2 linked regions of the Canis lupus familiaris genome follow. The protein of the gene in region 2 binds, or shares a complex with, the protein of the main gene of each other region. Links are inferred from orthologs where the notes say so. Each region holds a gene or a part of one and is shown on either strand. Other genes may lie near its edges.

What was found. Proteins that work in one complex are often made in the same cells at the same time.
Region 1: EIF3I (region 2) and EIF3F share a complex: the UniProt entries of both Homo sapiens proteins name them as parts of the eukaryotic translation initiation factor 3 (eIF-3) complex. The link is inferred for Canis lupus familiaris from reciprocal best matches to the Homo sapiens genes EIF3I and EIF3F.

Annotation. Positions count from the first base shown.
Region 1 is NC_049242.1:32,120,821-32,124,569, forward strand, and holds the start of EIF3F (eukaryotic translation initiation factor 3 subunit F), read left to right. Parts: upstream 1-1,197; 5' UTR 1,198-1,221; coding exon 1,222-1,621; intron 1,622-3,749. UniProt on the Homo sapiens protein: Component of the eukaryotic translation initiation factor 3 (eIF-3) complex, which is required for several steps in the initiation of protein synthesis.
Region 2 is NC_049223.1:68,381,651-68,385,311, forward strand, and holds the start of EIF3I (eukaryotic translation initiation factor 3 subunit I), read right to left. Parts: upstream 2,913-3,661; 5' UTR 2,898-2,912; coding exon 2,379-2,897; intron 2,289-2,378; coding exon 2,196-2,288; intron 872-2,195; coding exon 784-871; intron 474-783; coding exon 408-473; intron 1-407. Other genes in the region: TMEM234 (transmembrane protein 234), read left to right, coding at 2,931-2,957, 3,620-3,661. UniProt on the Homo sapiens protein: Component of the eukaryotic translation initiation factor 3 (eIF-3) complex, which is required for several steps in the initiation of protein synthesis.

The sequences.
Region 1 (3,749 bases), on a different chromosome or scaffold from region 2:
CAGAGCTCTTTTCCATTGCATAGCGGTGGTAATAGCTTCCGCTTAATAATAGTAACGGCTGTAGGGGCACCTGTGTGGCTCAGGGGTTGAGCATCTGCCTTCGGCTCAGGTGGTGATCCCAGGGTCCTGGGACTGAGTCCCACATAGGACTCCCTGCAGGGAGCCTCCTTCTCCCTCTGCCTATGTCTCTGCCTCTCTGTGTCTCTCATGAATCAATATATAAAATATTTAATAATAATAATAACTTCTATGTATCAGGCACATGCTAAGAGCTTTACAGAGGGTTACTCCTTGAAACCCTCTCCCAAAGCACAGACTAGCATCTCCACCTGACCACTCAACAATTCTGCTGGGATGTCTAATGAGGGTGACACCTCCAAAATTGAACTTAGGACCTTTTCAAAAAAAAAAAAAAAAAAAAACACCTGCTCCACGGGCACCTGGGTGGCTCAGCGGTTGAGCATCTGCCTTCGACTCAGGTCACGATCTCAGCCCTCGCACGGGGCTCCTTGCTCAGCAGGGAGTCTGCTTCTCCCTCTGCCCCTCACCCCACTCATGCTCACTCTCAAATAAATTAAATATTTTTTTAAAAAAACAGCCCCCTCCCTTGCCTCCTTCAATCCACTCAGATCTCACGCTCTCATTGTTACCCACCCTACCTTCTGATTCTCCCTTATTCCCCGCTCGTTTTTCCTTTTTCATAGCATCCATCACCCTGTAACATACTATATACCCTTTTGTCTCTCTCCGCTAGATATTGGGCATTTTTGAGGACAACGATCCTTGTTCTGTCCTCTGATCTACATTCCGAGGGCCTAACACAGCGCCTGGCACCTATTCACACTGGTGACTGAAGAAGCCGCCGCACCCACACCTTCTGACGCGGTGAAGAAGTGCCTTTAAAACGCACTTTATCGTCCACTACCCCTTTGAAGTCTGGAAACTCTGGGTCCACCTGGCGGCCGCTGAGCAGTCGGAGCGGTTTCTTCTCTCATCGCCGTCTCAAGTTTGTCCGGAACTATTCAGCTCCGTCCTCACTTGAGTGCTCATCGGTCTGAAATCAAAGAGCACAAACTCAGAGCCGGAAACTGTGCCGTGAGAAGCATTACCGGTAGCCAATCGGCATAAAGATCTCGTTCACGTGGTGCATCTTCAGCCTATCGTGTTCTACTACTTTTCAACTCCCTCCCTTCCGCTCCCGGCTCCTTCTCTCTCGACAAGATGGCCACACCGGCAGCCCCGGCGAGTGCTCCTGCCGCCACCCCAGCCCCAGCCTCCGCCCCGGCCGCGGCCCCAACCTCGGTCTCAGCCCCGGCCGCAACCCCAGCTTCAGCGCCAGCGCCGGCTCCGGCTCCAGCGCCGGTCCCAGCTCCAACGCCGGCTCCAGCCTCTGCCTCAGACCCGGGGACTGCGGCGGCCACGACTGCGGCTCCGGGCCAGACCCCGGCGTCTACGCCAGCCCCAGCGCAGACTCCGGCGCAGTCACTGCCGGGTCCTGCTCTCCCAGGCCCCTTCCCCGGGGGCCGCGTGGTCCGGCTGCACCCGGTCATTTTGGCTTCCATCGTGGACAGCTACGAGCGACGCAACGAGGGCGCTGCCCGAGTTATCGGGACCCTGCTGGGTGAGTGGTCAAACCGCATTGACCCTCTCGCCTCCCGTTTATCCCATTGACCTCTTGACCTATTTCTGCATCCCGTCTTTCTGCCGCGACTTCCCTCCTTGAAGGAACTCGCACTTTCCTGCCAGGTTGCTGTCACTTTGGTCGACACAGAATACGTAAGCCGTAGTGCGTTACTGAATAAGTATCGTGTGCCGAATGATCGATCCCGGGTCCCCAGGATCACGCCCTGGGCTGAAGGCGGTGCCAAACCGCTGGGCCACCCGGGCTGCCCCTGGTTTTATGTTTTATTTTTAATCTCCCCGCTAGCATTTGAGGTCAAGTGTGATTAGTCCCAGACTGCCAAAAATGAGTTCAGATGCCGACGAGGAAGTCAGAAACGTTTGACTAAACGTTCGACTAAACGCTGCCCCCCACCCCCCCCGCCGCCTTCCACCCCCTTCCACGGTCTAAATGTCCTTATTTTCCAGGTGTTTACGAGGACGTTTTAAACCAGTTGGTAAAGAAGTAGGGACTTCTGTAAAAAGACATCCCTTTCAACAAGTTTGGCAGAAACCTATTTAGGTTTTTAATGATATTCTGCTTTTCTAAACATTTAATCCTGATCTTATGTTTTTTAATCTCCCTGATATGTTAATTTGTAAAGCTGAGAAGCTAAATAGGGATTACTGATAATAATGCCCTTTTCTCTTGGGAACTGCTGATCCCATCAAAGTCCTTTTCCTTCCATCCTTGTCACCAATTTTAGATCCCTTTGTAAATGGACTCTAGCCTCGTTTGTCATTTCTCTTATTCTTGAATATGTATGTAATAGTCTTTCTAGCATAGAAGACAACTGAATTGCAAAGGGGACAAGATTTGACGGTAGATTGCACCAAATATTAACCATGTGCCTTGGGATTCCTGGGTGGCTCAGTGGCTGGGTGCCTGCCTTTGGCCCAGGGCATGATCCTGGAGTCCCAGGATCAAGTCCCACATCGGGCTCCCTGTATGGAGCCTGCTTCTCTCTCTGCCTGTGTCTCTGCCTCTCTCTTTCTCTCTGTGTGTGTCTTTCATGAATAGATAAATAAAATCTTAAAAAAAAAAAAAAAAAAAAAAAAAAAAAAAACATGTGCCTTGAGACAAATTACCTGAAGTCTAGTTCTTTCGGGGCACTTAGACTTAGTCTTTGCAGAAACTAAACTATCACCAAAAGCATCTCACTGCTGGCAGACCATTAGGTACAAAACCGCGGTTGACTGCAGTCTTCCACCACATCAGGGCTACCCCCACACCCCCAATCCCTGCCTTGCAACACACACACATTTGCCCTCTCTTTGAAGATTTAGCATTTCACAGAACCTTCAGTTGATCCATTATCTTCCAAACATCAAGGTTTTTCTCAAACCAAGCCTTTGTATTCTGTTTGACATAAATGTCTTCCCTGCTCTCTCTCATTTAAGTTTCACTCATTTCCTGGGTTCCCAGGAAAAGTGTTAAGTGTCAGTTCTTTGTCTCACATTACCACCCTCACCTCCATTCTTAACCTCCAAAGTATAGTAGCATTCTGTAAATGTGTCCTGCTTTGAGCTTCTGAAATAAATGATTTTTGCAACAAAGGTTGGCACTTGACGAATACTAATCTATTTACTCTTTGAGCTGCACTGCCAAATTTTCCAAATCCACTGGAGCTATTTAAAGAAACCCAGGGAGAATGCTCAGAGCCCCCAGATACTCTAGTGACTCTAGTTAGACCAACTAGTCTAGCTCTTCAGATCCTCTTCCAGACTGGGATAATGGTATAATGCTCAGTGTTATAGAGACAGTACTTCACTGAAGAATTAAACACAGACTGCTCACGAGGAGCTTCTGAATATTCTCAGATGTTAATTCATGAAACATTTAATTTGGTTAAATGAAATGACTGGTACTGTTTAAATACCATAAAACTGTTACATATTTTGAATTCAAAGTTTGATAAAATAACTTCTGTTCTAACCTTAAATTCAAGATGAAGATATATGCAAATAATTAGAATACAATGTGATAAATGCTTTAACTGAAGGATATTGTGGCATGGAAATGCAGAAGACTTAAAACTGCTTCAGAAGTGTGAAATGGTCAAGTTTATTGAATTCCTGTTTAGAGGTCA
Region 2 (3,661 bases):
CTTCTCTCCTGACTATTTCTTACTCCCCAAGAGGCAGAAGCTCCCATCAGATCAAATGACTTGGACAGGACACCTGCCATGTTTTCATTCCAGTATGTGCCAAAGTGATGACCTCTTTCTCATCCGTAAAGCCCCAGCTCGTATGACATTCACCTTGGGAAACCTTGCCGGCTCCCCTTCCCATTCCAGGCAGTCAGTTGCCCCCTCACCCCTCTGGCCTTCCACAGTGCTTTGTGCTTTCTCTAATATGGCTTATATCTTACTGTAGTGCTTCTTTTCTTGTCTGTTTATTGTTCCTTAGAACAGGAGCCATCTCTGGATTATCTGTTTCCCCAAAACCTGTTCACCTCAACAGATACACTGTAGGTCGTCACTGTCTGATGGAAAAGTAAATGATCCAGGCTTACCTGTTTCACAGTCCCAGAGACGACAGCTATTATCAGCTGAGCCGGTAAGGACATGTTTGGTGTCCCCTGAAGAAGGTGTTAAAGAAACATGATCGAGTTCACCTGAGCCCCTGTCCTCTTGGAAAACCAACGGAATCACCTCCCTGTTCAGCCCCAGACAGCCTTTCTTCCTCTCTTACTTCAGAACTTTCTAACCTTCTCATATAGAACTGGAACTTGTCCTGAATATTCCCCCAACCAGTGAAAAGACCAGGGATTAGGCGGGAGATATCATTCCCTAGACCCACAATAGCATCCCAAACTCCCAACTCCACATGGGCAGCCTCTCCGTCGCTGGCAGACCCTGGGATCCCACACTCAGAGCAGACAAGGATACAGTCAGCGTCTACACACCACACAGCTCCACTATGGCCCATGTAAGTGCCCAGCCTCTCACCATTCACGGAGTACCACACATTGACAATCTGGAAGAGTCAATGACAGTGTGACACATAGTAAACATCCCAGGCAGAGCAATGGTCTCCTACTTAGAGGTTCCCCAGGAACCGCAGCAACCTCTAACCAGGCCAGATTCTCCCCTTTCCTGCTCATGTCTTGGGAAACAGTAGGCTGCTGGTAAAAAAAAACAATTCCTGGATTCTCCTCCTTCCTGCAGGTAAGTGGCAGGGGAGTCAGGAGGCTTGTAAAAACATCTCCATTGGGGATCCCCGGGTGGCTCAGTGGTTTAGCGCCTGCCTTCTTCAGCCCAGGGCATGATCCTGGAGACCCGGGATCAAGTCCCCCAATCAGGCTCCCTGCATGGAGCCTGCTTCTCCCTCTGCCTGTGTCTCTGTCTCTCTGTGTCTCTCATGAATAAATAAATAAAATAAAAAATCTTAAAACAAAACAAAACAAAATCTCCATGCCATTATTCCGGTCTTTCCTGAAACTCTCAAATACAGTGCTTCTCTCTTCTGAGCAGATTGTCTTGTCTGTAAAATGGCCACAACAATAATGCCTTCTTCAAAGAGTAGCTGTGAGGCTTCAATAAAAATAATGTCTAAGGAATTTAAAATACAGTAACAATTCTCCAGTAACATACACGAGGTATTTACCGTGCTAAACTCCTTCCCCAAATAACCTCATTTAACCCTGAAGACAACTCTCACAAGGGAAGAATTATTAGTACCCATAATTCATAAAAAAAAAAAAGGGAAACCAAGTTATCAAGGTTAAATGACACGCTCCAAGTCACACTGCTCCTGGATGCAGGGGTCGGGATTCAAATCAGGTCTGCTGGCCTCTGAACTCCCACTTTTGGCCACTAGAGTTAACACATCTTCCATATGGAGGTGCCTCAAAGGGCACTGCTGTGAGGGGCTGTTTGCACTCAGTGAAAGACACCCACAAGGACCTACTGAAATGAGACCCGGGACACCTCCAGGAAGTCCTCTGTTGTCCCTCACCGCCCAAGGAGCAGCTTTCCCCTTCTAGGGGTGGCCTGCTCCCCTCCCCTGGAAGAATAGTCTGACTCTGGTCTCCGTCCCCCTTCCGTGATGGTCTCTTGCTTTTTTTTCCTCCTGGCCACTCCCTCCTCCTACCAACTACTGCGTTCTATCCCGGAATAATGTCTCGCCCACCTACTCCCGGGATGGCCTCCCCCTACTTCTCAGAATGGGGAGCTCTTTGGCTCCCCTCTCACGGCAAAAACGGCCTGTCCACCCCTCACCCCGGCCGAAAGAAGTCTCCCCCTCTCGCCGCCCCCCACCCTCGCAGGGTCCCGCCGGGCCGCCGGCCGCCGACGCTCACAGGGTCCTTGGCCACCGTGAAGAGGAGGTCTCCCTCGCGGTTGTACTTAATCTGCGTAATGGATCGTTCATGGCCCTGCAGCAGGATGGGCTTCTGTGGGGACAGGACAGGAGTGTCAGCGCCCCGGACCGGCCCCTGCCCCAGTCCCACACCCCCAGGCTAACACCTCAACTCAGAACTCACCATCCTGGCGTTGACGCGAGGGAAGCGGCAACGTGAGTAGGACCGGAAGAGGCTTTGGCGCCACTTCCGGATTATGGGTCTCCGCCCCTTCGCCCCCGGAAGTGGGCCAGAGCGGCGTTGCCATGGCGGCGTCCTTTGGTGGGTAGGCGGTCCCACCCCTTTCGGGGCTTCCCAGACCCTACCCGGGGTTCCTCTGCCGCTTCGCCTCCCCTCCCTGAACTTGATCTCCGCCCGATCCCCAATCTCCGGGCCGCCGGATCCATCCACCCGCCCCCCGGGGCCTTTCCTACCCACCAGTCGCACCCGGGGCGTCGGAGAGCGAGGGAGGGATGTGGGGGTGGCTGACGGGGGAAAAGAGGCCCGAGAAGGGCTGGGCCCGGCGGGTGGCCCTTTGTCGGGGATGAGGGTCACTCGCATCTCCCTCCAGGGCAGGTGCTGGCTCTGGTGCTGGTGGCCGCCCTGTGGGGTGGCACACAGCCGCTGCTGAAGCGGGCCTCCGCCAGCCTGCAGCAGGTCCATGAGCGGACGTGGGCCCGGCAGTTGCTGCAGGAGATGAAGACCCTCTTCTTGAATACTGAGGTGTGTCTCTGAATGGCCCCTTTCTCGTGCATAGCTGATCCAAGTCTGGAGCAGAATCTGGCTCTCCACCAGCTTAGTCGCTAGGTCCTCCTTGAGCCTCAGTTTCATCATCTGTAAAATGGAAATGATAGTGGTAAACCATCTTATGAGGGCAGTTGTGAGGATTCAACGGCGAGGCACATAGACCACTTAACATTGGGTCTAGGAAATAATTAGGGTTCAATCTATGGTTGAGATGACTAGTATTTTATTATGGTAATCTGTCCAACAGACCTCACTGAGGCAGGACTTGGGGCTCAAATGGACCCGGGAGGGAGGATAGGGAAGGTTATTCTCTGATAACCTCTATCCAGAGAACTACCTCTGACTCCAGTGCTGCCAGTCTAGGCTAGAGGGAAAGACAAGACATAGACACAACCACGGCTTAGAGCTAAGGCCTATGAGAGAGGTACAGATTAAGTGCTTCATGAGTTCACAGAAGGGAGGCTGGAGTAGGGGCCTCCGGGAATGCTTCTTGGAGGGAGTGACATTGGCATTCAGGGACTTGCACGGGCTGAGGGAGAAGCCTTCAAAGCAAAAGCACAGAGTTCAGTCAGTAACTTGTTAGTAACTTGTTGGAAAGGTCCTTTTCAGAAGGCTAACCACTCTCTGGACCCTTATAGCTATCCCTTCCTCCAAGGAAGAACATATCTAGAAGCTCAAAG